Linked DNA regions of Mus musculus. The main gene of each other region encodes a partner of the protein of the gene in region 3 in a complex. Links are inferred from orthologs where the notes say so. Each region holds a gene or a part of one and is shown on either strand. Other genes may lie near its edges.

Region 1 (3,687 bases), on a different chromosome or scaffold from region 3:
TCTGAATCGAACTCCCAGTTGTTGTTTCATCTTTACAGTTTAATTCTTGAGTTTACCAATGTTTCCTTTAGCTGTGGCTCACCTGGAGACCTAATGAGAATTTTGTACCCAAAACAATTAGTGTTTCTGAACATGGAAGTGTAGAGAAGTAGTAAGAGAGAGTAAGTTAAAAATCTATGATTAAGACCAAGCCTTTGGACTGTGCGTGACCTGGGCAAACCATGAACTCAGTGCCTTAGTCTGCTATGTCTGTAAACAAACAAGACAGGATACCCTAAAACATCCCCTAAACTACCTGCTTCAAGTCACTGTTCTCTACATTGAGTTTGGGAGGTTGAAGTGGTTCTTGTTTTTAAAACAGTGTCTTATTTGTTACCTCAAACTGTGGATCCTCCTGCCTCAGCTTTCTGGGTGCTAGGATCATTGATATGTGCCACCATATTCATCTTGCATTGAGCTTTAAACAGTTTACTGTTGTCAGCTGGGGCTGACGTGTCCCTTAAAATTCCAGAAAGCATTTGGGTGATTAGACAAAACTGAAACATTTTTCTGAGAAAATATTTCTTAGTGCTTTAAATTCTTTTAATGGGCTCTTCTCTTTCTTTCTTTCTTTCTTCCTTTTTTTTTTTTTTTTTTTTTTTAGCTGTATCCCTTTATCCGAGTTGTTTATGTGATATTTGGAGGAGATTTCTGTTTGGGCTTATGTATTTGTTACTAACCCATACATTTCTAGCACATTGGTACCAGAACATTGCTGTCCTCAACCCTAGTGCATAGGCCTAATCTGCTAGGGCATATGGTCCTGTGGCACAGTTACAGACCTCGTAGGACATACACTACATCTGGAGTTGTCCCATACCTTTCATAATGTACTTTTGTACCTTTTTGTGTCTTTTTTTTAGTCTAGTGGCAATACCAGTGTATGTGAAACACAGTATCAGCTTTAAGGAAAACAGCTCTTGTGGCCGGTTTGATATAACAATTGGACCGAAACAGAATATGGGAAAAACAATTGAAGGAATCACAGTGACTGTTCACATGCCCAAAGTTGTGCTGAATATGAACCTGACACCAACGCAAGGCAGCTATACATTTGATCCCGTGACCAAGGTACAGGCACTTCGAAACAAGAATGAGCAAGTGTTCTGCAATCTATTTTGTGGTTGTGGGTGGAGGTCACAGTACTTAGGAAGCAGGGTCCTTGCCTTGCTTAAACAAGACTCTAGCCAAGGGTTTTCAGAGTCCTAGAAAAGATGATTTTCTCTTCGCTCCCTTGCTTCCTTATGTAGGAAATGTAAGTTTTCAGCAGAATAGAGTACTTGATAAATGAGAAGGTGTTTTGGTTTGGTTTGGATTGTGTTTGAAATGGAGGAGCCGGGCGTGGTGGCGCACGCCTTTAATCCCAGCACTTGGGAGGCAGAGGCAGGTGGATTTCTGAGTTCGAGGCCACCCTGGTCTACAGAGTGAGTTCCAGGACAGCCAGGGCTACACAGAGAAACCCTGTCTTAAACGAAAAAACAAAAACAAAAAAACAAACAAAAAAAAAGCCTTTCTGGGACCCTTTAAGTGTGAGGTGTGAGCAGGCGAGTCCACATCCTCACCTTCCAGCTGAGCTGGAGTCATCCTTCTGTCTGTCTGTTACTCAGCCCCACACACATGATTCTGCTGTGGATTCTGTAACTGAACATTTAGTGATTAGAACATAAGCCAGTTGTGTAGTCCTGGCTTCTGTTTTCTAAGACACTGCTTCATTTTGTGTAGTGTATAGCATCTGTTGACCTCTGAGCATGTCTTTAACACAGCTCAGGTATTTTCTCTTGTGTTTTTAAGGTACTAGCATGGGATGTGGGCAAAATTACTCCACAAAAGCTCCCAAGTCTTAAAGGACTAGTAAATTTACAGTCAGGAGCACCCAAGCCAGAAGAGAACCCAAACCTCAACATACAGTTCAAGATCCAGCAGCTTGCTATTTCAGGTAACACGTGTTTGCTGGGCATTGAGGGGAGATTGGGGCTAGGAGTCTGGAAGAGTACTAACAGCTCTACCCTAGAAGGAACAGCAGCTCCAGACAGCAGCCATTTGAGAACACAACTTAACCTCATGCTCTTCTGTCACACATACCTCACCTCACCTTCATTTAAGAGCCAGAGAAGCCCTCATTTGTGTTCAAAGAAAGTGGAACTAGCTAGTTTTGTGAGCAGAGGCATCTTAACCAAGGCCATGCTCCTTAGAGTACAGCATGTGGGGGATAGAAAAGGGATGTTGTTTCCACATGATGAATGGAGCACTGTGCAGTGTCACATCTAAGGCACAGTGTTCATTGTTACACAAGTACTGCATTATTACTCTGGTAGTAATGATTCGTTTCATTCTTTTTGACACAGGCTTAAAAGTGAACCGCTTGGACATGTATGGTGAGAAGTATAAGCCATTTAAAGGAGTCAAATATGTCACAAAGGCTGGGAAGTTCCAAGTGAGGACATGAGAAGAGGCCAAACTTGCTCAAGATCAGTTTGTTTTTTCAAGTGTCATTGCAATTTATTACTATTAGGTACCAAGTGGGTGGGAATAATATACAGCATTTGTGTCAAGCTACCCTGCTAACAAAGTTGCTTAGTAATTGATGTAGGGTTCTTACGGAGCTTTAAGCTAAGGAAAGTTTTCTAAAGACTTAGCTTATTTTGTATCTTTTCACTTAGGAAAAGGTTTAGATGATTTCTTCCATGGGGGCTACCAGCTGAATGCTGCACATTCTAACAGTCAAAGCAGAAGGCTACAGTGATATCCTCTCTCCTAAAGCAAGCCAACTGGTCTCATCTACCAGCAGGAACTGTCTCAGTCTGTGATGTGTCAGGTGCAGCCAAGTGTCACACCTTCTGATCTTAGCCATCTCAGTGTCTGTCCCAAGAGAGGAGATTGCCCCACCCCAAGAAGTTTACAGAAAACTGCCTCTTCAAGTGTTTGCCTTACTCAGCTTTTCACTTGTGCCATTAAGCAAGCACTGTAGCAAAAGCCACTTCCACATGGCCCTGGCAGGGAGCACTACAGCTCCGTGCTCCATTCTCACTGTACTTGGTATTATATTTTTTATAAATAAGATTTTTATGTAAAGCTCAGATTTTGATTTACAAGGACCTTGCTGCAGTAAATATTCCATCAATCTTGTGCCACTAGTTCAGCTGTTAAGATAGCACAGTCAAATCATTTGCATCAAAAGGGCAAATACTTTATTAAGACAACGAAAGGGAACACTACTTCTGTTGTTAGCGAGTTACTGCAGGCACAGCTGTTTGTGCTTTTAAACAAATTAAAGTAGTAAAAGAGAAAATCAAGCAAAACCTTTGCCATTCTCATGTTTTATTAAAGCTTTATTTAATGCCACTAACCTAATTAGCTTGAAACCCTAGTTTAGCTAAAGAAGGAAATCATGAGTTTCACTATGTTGCTCTTTTCAATCTTTGTGTGTTTAAATAGTTGAATTTGCTTGTGTGCCCTTCATTTGGGGGAGCGCCTTTCCATACTACATATATCTCCAGGCCATTGTGATGACACCTTCTCCAAACTCCTATCAAATTCGAGTGAAGCACTTAAGTGTCTTTGCCGTACTGCGTACGTGGAAGAACCATTCACGGAAGGACAGAGTCCTCAGTAACCATTTATACTAATTGGTCTTTACTCCTGAAAAGC
Region 2 (3,687 bases), on a different chromosome or scaffold from region 3:
TATTCGGAAGGATGATAAACTTTGGATCTTCTAGTGGTCACACCTACCCAGAGATAAGCACTCCAAGGCCAGCTGCCCCAGTCTGTCACAGAAAGGAAAGGAAAGAAGCACGTCAAGACATCCAGATCTTACCAGATTACACTAGGGCTTAAAGGGCACCTGTTTCCCTGTTTCCTATAGCATGAAAAGGGCTCTCAATCTCAGGAAGAAGCCTGGCAGTGGTGGCACTGACACACAAGCCCATCAAATAGTTAAGAGACTTTATTCTAACAGCTATAATTACAGTGCTTGTCGAAATGAAAACTGAAAACAAGTATACAAAACAGTTGATTACTAATTGTGTATTGAAAGCGGTAAGAGGTTCCACGACACCAAATAAACCAGTTCTGAGATTTCCCCAAGATAAATTTAACAGCTCCAGCTTCTTCAGTGTTTATCAAAATACAAAAGAAAAAAGTAGAGGTCGTCTTTCGATGGCAAATCGGACCCTTGCAGGCTGAGGGAGGAAGCTACTTCACACATGGAGATGGGGGTGCTCCAGGATGTGGGTCTGTAATGGACCGACCCTCCCACCTTGCACGCACTCCTGCTGGTGAGACCCAGGCCTCCTGCCAGCGCGTCCAAGTGGGCCCAAGAGTAGGCTGGGTATGCAGGCTGCCATTGGGCCTTGCACACACCAAGTACAAGCCAGGCCCTGCACCCCACAATGGCTCCCAGCCTACCCTAGGTAACCGTGTGAGCACAAGTACAAGCACAATGCTATGGAATGCAGGTGACCCAAAGACAGGCGAGTCACGGGGGCTCTACTGTGACCATGCAGCGGATGGTGGTTTGTTCATCACCTTCTCTCCTGTTCCCACAGCGAAACAGGTGATCTGATATCTAGCATTCAGGCCATTAACTGCAAAACCTACACTAGGCATAGTCTCCGTTCTGTGTGTTCAAGTGTTCTTGTCCTGTATTTTTAACTATTTTTAAAAAATGCACTGAGTTTGGGTTAAAAACCAACCACCAAATGGATACCGACACCAGTCTACAGCCCAATGGCTCCCGGAGGCCAGGTGCCCCTACACCCAAATCCCTTCTCAGTACTGACAGTTGAGTTGATTCTCTTTTTACAATAAAAAAGCTAAGTAATATTGCATAGGAGTACCAGAAACTGCCTCAGTGGAAACAGAAACTATTTACATTAAATAAAAACCTGGCTGCAGGCTGCGTCTGCACATGTACAGCACGGTGCGATGCACACTGTGACCAACCCATGGAGACAGCTTCTGGCACTCAGGACCACAGAGTCGCACGTTTGCCACATGAGAGGAAAGCTGAGGGCGGAGAAGAGGAAGTGAGGGGGAGGGAGGGGTCTGGTTCACTTCTGGTTCCGGAGCTGATTAGACAGCCAATCTAGTCCTTCATAGAGCCCGTCCCCGCTGGTGGCACAGGTGGCCTGAATGTACCAGTTCCTGTGGCGTAGAGAGTGCAGCCCCAGCTTGTCTGTGATTTCGGCCGCATTCATGGCATTGGGGAGGTCCTGAGGAAAAGGAAGAATTAGTGGCAGGGACCACAAACAGCCAATAACCCTGGGTAGCCTTTCACCCCTCCTCTTTCTTCCCTGATACAGGTTTTCCTTCAGGGAAGGACCTTGCTGGTGCCTACCTGCTTGTTGGCAAACACCAAGAGAACAGCATCTCGGAGCTCATCTTCAGCTAGCATCCTCATGAGCTCTTCACGGGCCTCGTTCACACGCTCTCTGTCATTGCTGTCCACTACGAAGATCAAGCCTGAAACATGGCCACATTAGTGCACATACTGAACACTCCCCACCAGACCCCACAGGTTCTAGATCCAGTCCTTCCACTGGCCGTGATGTTTGGTGTGGCTTCATGCCCTGAAATGGCAAAGACCACAAGGCTCAGTGAACCAACTGTATCCCTTTGAGGCAAATATGAGGAATCTAGGACAAGGACTGGCTGCTTACCTTGGGTGTTCTGGAAGTAGTGGCGCCACAGCGGCCGGATCTTGTCCTGGCCGCCCACATCCCACACGGTGAAGCTGATATTCTTGTATTCAACAGTCTCCACATTGAAACCTGGGGGGCAGGACTGCAGCTGAGGGCCTCTGTATTTTGGATCCCCACACCCAACCCCCACCCTGGCCCTGGGCCCAGCTTCTCACCAATGGTGGGAATGGTGGTCACAATTTCGCCCAGCTTAAGTTTGTATAGAATTGTTGTCTTCCCTGCAGCATCCAGGCCCACCATGAGAATGCGCATTTCTTTTTTGCCAAAAAGGCCCTTGAAGAGGTTTGCAAAGATATTCCCCATGTTTGTGGACAGGTGGAATCGATACTGGCCAAAGACCTGGGAAAGAAAAGTGGTTCAAGTACTGTTATGTGCTGCCAGTGTGGGCCCTGTGGCAGGTCAGAGACACCTATGTAGGAGTCCCCTGCCCTAAGCCATGTCCTCATATCCCTCCTGAAATTTCATGGGAGGATGGGAGACAATTCAATCCTAGGTCCCAGGTGGCAGCAAAGAACCCTGCCCCCTGCCCACCAGACTCCCTACGCTCACCAAGGTCACACATATCAGTTTAGGAAGACGCAGATACCACAACAACCCCTTGTCTCCCAAGTCTAATCACTTGTCAGAATGAAGGGACATCTAACTACAATCAAGTATGCTCACACTCGGGAGCTGGCACTAAAAAGAGTTTTGAGAGAAAGGGCCTTTTTTGGGGTTTGTTTTGGTTTTTGGTTTTTTAAGACAGGGTTTCTCTGTATAGCCCTGGCTGTCCTGGAACTCAGAAATCCACCTGCCTCTGCCTCCCAAGTGCTGGGATTAAAGGCATGCACCACCACTGCCTGGCTGACACAGGGCCTCTTAAAACCTAACAGAGCTCTTCACAAAATCAGAAAAAACCACCTTACATCTCTATTCTTACTTCAAAGTGTCAAAGTATCCACAATTTTCAACTAAAGAAATAGTCACACTCTATGCTCAACACTACAAGCCAAATGTTCTACCAGCCCCTGGTGACAGCGAGACTAGACAAGCCCATAAGAACTGTGATGCCATCTCTCCAGGCATTTCTGTCTGCCCAGGTCATGGGAGACAGATGTTAAGACAGTGTTCTATCTCAAGTCGCAAGAAGAAAGAGACTCAAACAGTAAACCATTGGCAGCACATTCCTATAAGAGGATGACAGGCAAATGTGAGCTGTGTCCCTGCAAGGGCCTATGCATACTTAGTAGGTAAGGCCCACTGGAAGAAAAGAAACGCTAGGCAATTTAGTTGGTACCAATGTACCAGGGCCTATCAAATGTTAAGAGCTTCTGGGAAGGATAGTAAGGTTTCCCTAGGTCTGGTCTCAACATCTGGTGGCCACTTTGATCTTCACTTCTCATCCAAATGGATTTACTGCTTGCTTTGTCAAATGCTCATTGTTAACTCTTAATAAGAAAAGCAAATAGAAGGCCACAGTGCCTTCAGAAAGAGTTGTCAATCCTAGGTATTATCCAAGGCTACTGACCCATAGGAAAAAGAATGACAAAGTTTCCCTATAAATTGTCTCGTAGTGCTACCTTAACAGAACATCATACAGTGGGCAACTTGGCAACAACAGATACAGTAGACATCCAAATCATGGTCTGGCAGGTTGGATGTCTGACTCTAAGGTGAGGTCTTCAGCCGTA
Region 3 (3,687 bases):
ATAGTAACGGTTATACACATTCCCAGCTCTCCGGTGCAGGTAGTTTCAGCCGTGCAGCGCCCCATGTGTGAGCTGCTGCTGAGCTGCGTTTCTCAGGTGTCCGGGTACCGGCTGCTTGCCATTCTTTAAACAGGAACCATGGAAGTCTTTACTTAGGGATGAGGCAACACGGACAGCCGTAGTTGGTAACTAGATTCAGGAAAACCTGCAAGCATTTATAATTCCTTCTTAATAAACCCGTGTTAAGGCTTTCAAATACCTTGCTTCCAAAAGAAGCTTCCTTGCTCTCCTGGCCAGCCCTCCGCTGACTGTTGTTTAGGGCCCAACTGTCTGTCCCTGGTCTCTGCCATGATGTTCTAGCGGTGTCTTTGCTTCTCCCTGTTGATTGGTTCTATTGTCATTTGTTTATAATGTGTGTACCATTCTCTAATAGTACCAATCTTTGGTTATTTTCTCCTTATTTTATGACTTCCTTTTAGCTTTAATTTACAATTGTACACATGTAGATTTCTAAATTAAAATTGCCTTTTCATTTAAAAACACTGTAGTTTAAAATACAAACCTATTTTGTTATATTCCAATATTGTTTTAATTACTATTAAAATCATCTCAATATACATTAATGTAGTGCGTTCAGAAGTTGACTTAGCAAGCCTGATTATGGTGTAAAAGCTTACGTAAATAAATAAATGACCAATATTACTAGAGGCTATAAGCGGCATGGTGGAAAAATGGAAGAACTCTTTCATCCTAGTTTTTAGAGGGCATCAGCAGCTTTTATGAAAAAGTAACAGCTAAATGCACTGCAAATAATTTGCAGTGATCCAGTTCAGTGATTCATGTGTCTGCTTTAATGGGTCATAATTCAGGGGAAAGTAACGGAGTGCAGTCAGAGTGCAGACACTGCCTGTGCCAGGGACAGTATCTCTTCATAAAGCACACCTCAGGAGAAGCGGCTTGCCAGCCCCTAATACTCTCTGATGTTTTGATGTCCCGCATATTTTTCCGATTAAGTTTTGAGTGCCATGTTTTTAGTTGTATTTCCACATTCATTATTCTCACGTAGACCCTTCAGCGGGTTTGCCATATATGATTATTTTTTTAATGATGCCTTTCTTTCCACTTCAGCAGTTTAATAATCTAGCACATGGCTGCTTCTCAGAGCTCAGCATTCACCTCCCCAGCACAGAAGAGGACATGTGCATTGGCTACAGAATTCCATTTGCCACGTTAGAAATGCATATTCCCCATGGAACGACATTTGTTTGACATAACCATTCATTTTTATTACATCTTTAAATATGTTTATCCAGAGTTATCAATAATCATAAATAACCGTATTTTCAACTTGTTCTGTTTTTTTTTCGAACAGACAAAATTGCTTACCCAGTACATATTAAATCTCGGCAAGTATGATCAAAACTACGACATCAGAGACCGCACACGATTTATTAGGCAGCTTATTGTTCCGAACGAGAAGAGTGGAGCCTTAAGTAAATATGCCAAAAAAATCTTCCTAGCACCGAAGCCTGCGCCACTGCTCGAGTCTCCCTTTAAAGGTATCACGAGATGCATAGCTTACAGCACGCTGCCTACAGCGTGTCAGTGTGCCCATTCCCATGTGCTTCAGGCTTCCCTCTGAGAAACACGACTTCCGTGTGGGTGTGGGAGAACATTGTGATTGCACTTTTTCATCTCTTCACGGCAAGTTTTATTCTTATGTTTGTTAAGGTTTATTTTCCTGTAGACCTTGTTTTCCTAAATAGATTCAGGTTCTCTGGTTTTTATTCTCATTAGGCAGTTTAACTGAACGGTAGGTAGAATACCTGTTCTGTTCTTATAGCCATGGGCTTTATTTCTGCTTTAAACAAATACTTTTAGTTCCTGATACCTAATAATAGTGAGTTATTCATTAAATACCCATGTACACTAATGCCAGCGTCTCTAGAGATTAGTTCATACAGAATCTTTACATTCAAGTTCATTTTTCAAGGAAGGAGCTGTGTTCTTTTCCCCAGCTTTTTGTAATTAAATATCTTGTCAGCTAACAAGCAGCGAGTATGGTTGGGACCACGTGGCTCTGGAGCTTGGCTTCCACGTGGTTTCTTACTTAAGTGTTGTAAAACAGTAAATGCAGTTCTGTGTGGCACAGAAACCATTGAGATTCCGCGTGTGTTGTGCCGAGGCATGTATATGGATGGTTTAGCTGCGCTGTCATTCCTAATATTCACAGTAAAGTAATTTTTAGAGAAGCTACATTTCAGAGCAACACCTCCAAACACACTGACTGATTAGCTTTTTTATTGACCATTATGGGGGAGATTATTGTAATCTATGGGCTGAAATCAGTTTTCTGACCTATGAAGAGCTTCCTGGTTTATATTTATTCCTTGACATTTGTGGTAATATGCCAATTACCTTGAGCTCTGATATGATTGTCATCTGTTATATACAGCTCATATTGTTTATTTTCTATTTTCCTCCATTTTTAATAGATAGGGATCGCTTCCAGCTTGGCACCTTATCTCATACTCTCAACATTAAAGCGTCCGGGTACCTGGAATTATCTAATTGGCCAGAGGTGGCGCCTGACCCATCGGTTCGCAATGTAGAAGTAATAGAGTCAGTAAGTTGACCTTTCTGAGATTAATTTTGTTCTAACAATGAGAGCTTCTTGGGTAACTACCATTTTATAGAAAACCCTTTGGGCTGAAAACTGAGCGCTGTTCTTGTGTTTCTGAATGCAACGTGTTAGATACACCTTGCCTTAGAGGAACTGAGCACTGTGTTTCCTTGCCGCTGTACCTGCACTGTTCTCTGCTTCAAGGAAACAGAGAATTGAATTCTCTGCATCAGTGCCAGCCACATTTGTGCGATTGCATTTGTAGCTGTGTAGATTCAATTTCTAAGGTATTTAGTTTCAATGGATTGAGCTTTTTCTACTTTGTTGGAGATTCGTAAGCTTCCTGTCAGTGTTTTTATAAATAATTTTTGCTGTTCTTTTCGAGAAAAGAAAAACCTGTACAAAATGTACTGGGTTTTCTGATGAGCTCAGTTTTAGGTGATGCTTACAAATAAGCAGAGAGCGTTGTATACCAAAGATAACCTTGACAAGGTTACAGCTAGAAACGGATAGTACACTTTTTACATTTAAAAAATGCCAATTATGTTTTCTAAATCTTTTCTTAAATACACTGGATGTTAGGCTTGCATAATGGTTACTCTTTACTAGCATTACCTATTTATTGTTTCATAGTAAGTTTGATAATGAAAGATATTTTGCTTGTACCTAGAAATTGTGTGAATATATTCTTTGTTTTTTAATATAAATGGAGCAGGTGAGAATTACATTCTTAATGTCTTCCTCATATAAGTAGTGCAGTGAACTAGAAATTAGATAATCAGAAGCCTTTACCATTAGCTCTGGTCGGAAAGCTAGTTAGCTACCATTAGCTCTGGTCGGAAAGCTAGTTAGCTTCCTTGTTCTCTTCCACATGCAAAGGAAGGAAGTCACTAACTTTAAATATAATCCCGTTAATGAGCATAGCCATGCAATATGATTATGCTGAGAAACAGCTTTCTTTTGAATACAAAACTTACACTGGCTTTGAAGCATGTCTGGCAGCAGATAATTAATGTAGCTTAGTTCAGAGCCCCGTCAGTGACGTGTGGCAGGTACCAGTTTGT
Region 4 (3,687 bases), on a different chromosome or scaffold from region 3:
TTGAGGGGTCTCCAGCCTACTCTGCCCAGCACAGATCTGCACCCCAGATCCCAGAGAGGAATAGGAACTGTGTGATCCTGTCTTAGGTACCAGTACTTTAGGTCTAAGAGCCACTCCTATTAGGAAGGATGGGAGACCCAGGCCAGATCCCCTGGCTTCCCAAGGTCCAACCTGTCCATCTGCCTTCTGAACGTGCAGCGTCAAGCCTCCTGTGAGCCAGTCAGCCAGGTCCCTGTTGGTGGGGTGGGTTAGTAGGTGTCAGTGTCTGACCCAGGGCTACTAACCTTGACCTCCATGTGTCCCAGTGCTCATCTCACTGTCTTCTGGGATGCCCAACCACAGCGCCAGCATCCAGGTGCGTCTGTCTCCGGACCTGTGCTCATCAGCACGAGTGGGGCTCCTCAGCCAGTCTGGAAATGATTGCAGTGGTCACTTCCAAGTTCATTTTTCTTGAACAGCTTGAAGCATGAAGAAAGTCCTCCAGCCTCAGCCCTCCCACAGGCACCTCCTTTCTCCACTGTACTTCTACCTGCCCTGTGGGGACCTAGTCAGCCTGCCTGGGCAGCTGCTGTGGACACTCTGTGCCCCCAGAACTTGCTCCCACATGTCCTCACTGGTGCCTGCCAGTCCACTTAGTCATGCTGAGCAGGGTCCCCAGAGCAAAGGCTGCAGTTACCTGCCCAACCTGTCCCCAGATGCATGCTCTTGGTCAGGGCTGGTGGTGGGCTGCTGGGCATGGTGGTGGGGTGCAGACCAGTGTGGCTTTCCTCCTCTCAGCTATGCGTTCAGAAGTTGAGGATACTGATAGAAGACTCCGACCAGAACTGTAAGTCACTGCTGCCTTCCCTGGCTGTCACACCTGAATGCCATGCCTGGGATTCAGAAATCTCACACTGGGGACCAAATGCTCCTGGGCCCTCAGCCCTCTGCTGTGCTCATGCTGATCCCGCTGGAGGGCTTTGTGGATAGAGTGGTAGCCCTCACCGCAGTCTGGCTAGCCTTGCCCTGAGCCCCAGGGAAGCATGAAGCAACCTACTACTGCCTTCCGTATGTCCCTACACTGCTCTCTGCTTAAACCTGTTCCAGAATGGGGGCTGTGTCAGTGTCATCTGCTGCTTACCAGACCAAGTGGCAGGCTGTTGTCTACAGTAGAGCCAGGCCTGATAGACTTGCTCATAGGGCCCAGGGGTTCTCAGTCCTACTTCACACCACAATCTCTCAGGAAAGCATCTCTGGGCCATCTGTTGATGTGACTACCTCAAAACCTGTCACAAGTGAGGCTTCAGGTGCACAGGTGTCATCTGTGGCTCCTGCTTCAGCCTCTCCATTTTTCATGAGGCCTGCACTGGGCCAGCAGTCACTGTCGTTTGGCTAGCAGTGACCTTTAGAGCTTGTGGGCAGGGTCCTCAGACACAGCATCATTGGAGTGCTTTTCTTTCTTTCTTCTTTTCCTTTTTTGGCTGTCCTAGAACTCAATCTATAGACCAGGCTAGCCTAAACTCACAGAGATCTATCCATCTGCCTCTGCCTCCTGAGTGCTGGGATGAAAGATGTACAACACTATTCCCAGCAGGGTTCTTTTTTTTTTTTTTCCTTTTAATAACATGTGTTTTTTGTTTGTTTGTTTGTTGTTGTTGTTTTAGGTTTTTGTTTGTTTGTTTGTTTTTTCAAGACAGGGTTTCTCTGTGTAGCCCTGGCTGTCCTGGAACTCACTCTGTAGACCAGGCTGGCCTCGAACTCAGAAATCCGCCTGCCTCTGCCTCCCAAGTGCTGGGATTAAAGGTGTGCGCTACCACGCCTGGCGAACAACATGTATTTTTAAGTTATTTGTAAGTTTTTGTCATTCATAATTGTGTGTCCGTGTGTGGGTCTGTGCTTGGGAAGGCCAGTGCCTGTGGAGACCGGAGCTTATAACACTCTGGAGCTGGGTTTACAGTCCTGTTCTTCCAGTCTCCAGAGGGCTGTGCCTGTAGACATGCTGTGAGAGGCTGGGTACAAGCCTCCACCGTGGCTTCCTGGGTGAGGTGGGGCTCACGAAAGTGGCCATCAGCTAAAGGCAGCACCCCTGATATGCCTGTGGGTCATGGTATTTCACTTGCTGTCCCCAAGCTAATGGCTACTTGGTCTTCACAGTAAAGTACCTGGGGCTGCTGGCCATGTCTAAAATCCTGAAGACACACCCCAAGTCTGTGCAGTCCCACAAGGACCTGATCCTGCAGTGCCTGGATGACAAGGACGAGTCCATCCGCCTGCGTGCACTTGACCTGCTCTATGGAATGGTATGTGTCCCTGTGGCCAGGATGGGGGGCCTGTGAAGCTTCAGTACTTGTCATTCCTATCCAGGCTGGGAGAGCAGCCTGAACCTGCTGCGGTCAGCCAATGGCACCTGTCCAGGATATAGGGGATGGAACTGGATACCAAATACGAGAGTCTCTGTCACTCTCCCTTGATCTGATACAGTTTTGCACTCTGGGGAGGAAGCTATCCCTCTTGGGCTCATGAGTTCCATCTTGGTTGTCAGTGTTCATGCCTGGCCACAGCTGCCTGTTCCCCACAGGTGTCCAAGAAGAACCTGATGGAGATTGTGAAGAAGCTCATGACTCACGTGGACAAGGCTGAGGGCACCACCTATCGCGATGAACTGCTCACCAAGATCATTGACATCTGTAGCCAGTCCAACTACCAGCACATCACCAACTTCGAGTGGTACATCAGCATCCTTGTGGAGCTGACAAGGCTGGAGGGCACCCGCCATGGCCACCTCATTGCTGCACAGATGCTGGACGTGGCTATCCGGGTCAAGGCCATTCGCAAATTTGCTGTGTCGCAGATGTCCTCACTGCTTGACAGTGCTCACCTGGTAGCCAGCAGCACCCAACGCAATGGTATCTGTGAGGTGCTCTATGCTGCTGCCTGGATCTGCGGGGAGTTCTCAGAGTGAGTCGGGGCAGCCCTTGGAAGTGGCCTAGTGTGGGGACATGTACGCAGACAGATCCTTTGCCTGACAATGGTCACTTCTGGGCAGCTCTGCCCAAGTGATCTCCTGTCTCCTTCCATGGAGTGGCGTGGACAATTTGGGTCACACTGGCTGTGGAGAGGAGGGTGCCTTGTAGACTGTGAGGCAGCTCACGTCTGCTTCAGGTGACTCAGCATACAGTGCTGATAGTGAGCTCCTCACGCCAGGCTCCCGGGCTGACTAGGTGGTAGGCTGCGGTGGCTACAGCACCTCCATTACACCTTACACCTGCTCAGAGGACACAGGACAGCTGTGACCAAGAGAGGTGTGGATTTGTTTTCAGTCTGTCACAGAACTCTCCTGGGGAGCACATTTCTCTGGAAAAACCACAAAATTTGCCCAGCACTTCCCTTGCCCCAGAGCTCAGCCCACGGAGGCTGTGTATAAGTTGTCCTTTGAGGATCCAGTGGGAGCCGCCTCTTTGAACCCCACAGCACAGCACATGGATGCCAGGAGAAGTTATTGATGAATGTTCAGTTTTTGTGGTGCTAGAAATCAAACCCAGGGTCTTGTTCCTATCAAGCAAATGCTCATTACCAGGAACAAATCAATGGCAACAAGTCAGCCATACAGATAACGTAGGTCCTCTGACCTGTGTCTACTACTAGTGGCAGTCACATCTTTGCTATTGTTTCCTTTTCCTTTTTTTAATTTTACATACTCACCATTGC

The links.
Region 1: the proteins of Ap3b1 (region 3) and Ap3m1 are in contact, whole or in part, in a cryo-EM structure (PDB 9C5A), measured with the Homo sapiens proteins. The link is inferred for Mus musculus from reciprocal best matches to the Homo sapiens genes AP3B1 and AP3M1. Residues at the interface, in NP_003655.3 of Homo sapiens: Leu60, Lys64, Val67, Gly68, Ile70, Ala71, Lys72, Gly73, Ile92, Glu93, Lys96, Leu97, Val100, Arg104, Glu107, Asn128, Gln129, Leu130, Arg137, Arg143, Ser163, Pro164, Tyr165, Lys168, Asn169, His172, Gln175, Lys176, Leu202, Ser206; in NP_001307192.1 of Homo sapiens: Met1, Phe15, Leu16, Glu17, Trp20, Lys21, Ser22, Val23, Gln26, Val42, Glu43, Asn44, Val45, Pro46, Pro47, Val48, Ser50, Tyr55, Ser58, Ile59, Tyr60, Gln71, Thr72, Glu73, Val74, Pro75, Pro76, Leu77, Phe78, Ile80.
Region 2: the proteins of Ap3b1 (region 3) and Arf1 are in contact, whole or in part, in a cryo-EM structure (PDB 9C5B), measured with the Homo sapiens proteins. The link is inferred for Mus musculus from reciprocal best matches to the Homo sapiens genes AP3B1 and ARF1. Residues at the interface, in NP_003655.3 of Homo sapiens: Glu52, Asn54, Pro81, Val84, Lys85, Val87, Ala88, Asp111, Leu112, Leu114, Leu115, Ile117, Ser118, Thr119, Gln121, Arg122; in NP_001019397.1 of Homo sapiens: Glu17, Arg19, Tyr35, Ile46, Pro47, Thr48, Ile49, Gly50, Phe51, Asn52, Val53, Glu54, Lys73, Ile74, Leu77, His80, Tyr81, Asn84.
Region 4: the proteins of Ap3b1 (region 3) and Ap3d1 are in contact, whole or in part, in a cryo-EM structure (PDB 9C5C), measured with the Homo sapiens proteins. The link is inferred for Mus musculus from reciprocal best matches to the Homo sapiens genes AP3B1 and AP3D1. Residues at the interface, in NP_003655.3 of Homo sapiens: Asn75, Lys466, Lys467, Gln470, Val494, Ala497, Ser498, Trp501, Leu531, Leu534, Gln535, Asn538, Lys542, Asn567, Tyr568, Asp569, Asp572, Arg573, Arg575, Phe576, Ile577, Gln579, Leu580, Lys586, Gly588, Ala589, Leu590, Ser591, Tyr593, Lys596; in NP_003929.4 of Homo sapiens: Lys352, Leu442, Ile446, Ser471, Tyr483, Trp487, Glu491, His517, Ala520, Val521, Gln524, Asn525, Lys528, Val561, Gln562, Ser563, Ala564, Leu566, Glu567, Gln569, Glu570, Arg571, Ser573, Cys574, Gln577, Leu578, His581, Ile582, Leu585, Lys588.

The regions. Positions count from the first base shown.
Region 1 is NC_000080.6:21,035,401-21,039,087, reverse strand, and holds part of Ap3m1 (AP-3 complex subunit mu-1), read left to right. Parts: exon of another isoform or gene 1-161; intron 162-902; coding exon 903-1,110; intron 1,111-1,830; coding exon 1,831-1,975; intron 1,976-2,384; coding exon 2,385-2,485; 3' UTR 2,486-3,687. UniProt on the Homo sapiens protein: Part of the AP-3 complex, an adaptor-related complex which is not clathrin-associated. The complex is associated with the Golgi region as well as more peripheral structures.
Region 2 is NC_000077.6:59,211,168-59,214,854, forward strand, and holds the end of Arf1 (ADP-ribosylation factor 1), read right to left. Parts: intron 2,357-3,687; 5' UTR 2,321-2,356; coding exon 2,173-2,320; intron 2,087-2,172; coding exon 1,976-2,086; intron 1,779-1,975; coding exon 1,654-1,778; intron 1,529-1,653; coding exon 1,367-1,528; 3' UTR 245-1,366; downstream 1-244. UniProt on the Homo sapiens protein: Small GTPase involved in protein trafficking between different compartments. Modulates vesicle budding and uncoating within the Golgi complex. In its GTP-bound form, triggers the recruitment of coatomer proteins to the Golgi membrane.
Region 3 is NC_000079.6:94,470,304-94,473,990, forward strand, and holds part of Ap3b1 (AP-3 complex subunit beta-1), read left to right. Parts: intron 1-1,372; coding exon 1,373-1,559; intron 1,560-2,495; coding exon 2,496-2,626; intron 2,627-3,687. UniProt on the Homo sapiens protein: Subunit of non-clathrin- and clathrin-associated adaptor protein complex 3 (AP-3) that plays a role in protein sorting in the late-Golgi/trans-Golgi network (TGN) and/or endosomes.
Region 4 is NC_000076.6:80,718,259-80,721,945, reverse strand, and holds part of Ap3d1 (AP-3 complex subunit delta-1), read left to right. Parts: intron 1-305; coding exon 306-355; intron 356-777; coding exon 778-826; intron 827-2,133; coding exon 2,134-2,279; intron 2,280-2,557; coding exon 2,558-2,937; intron 2,938-3,687. UniProt on the Homo sapiens protein: Part of the AP-3 complex, an adaptor-related complex which is not clathrin-associated. The complex is associated with the Golgi region as well as more peripheral structures.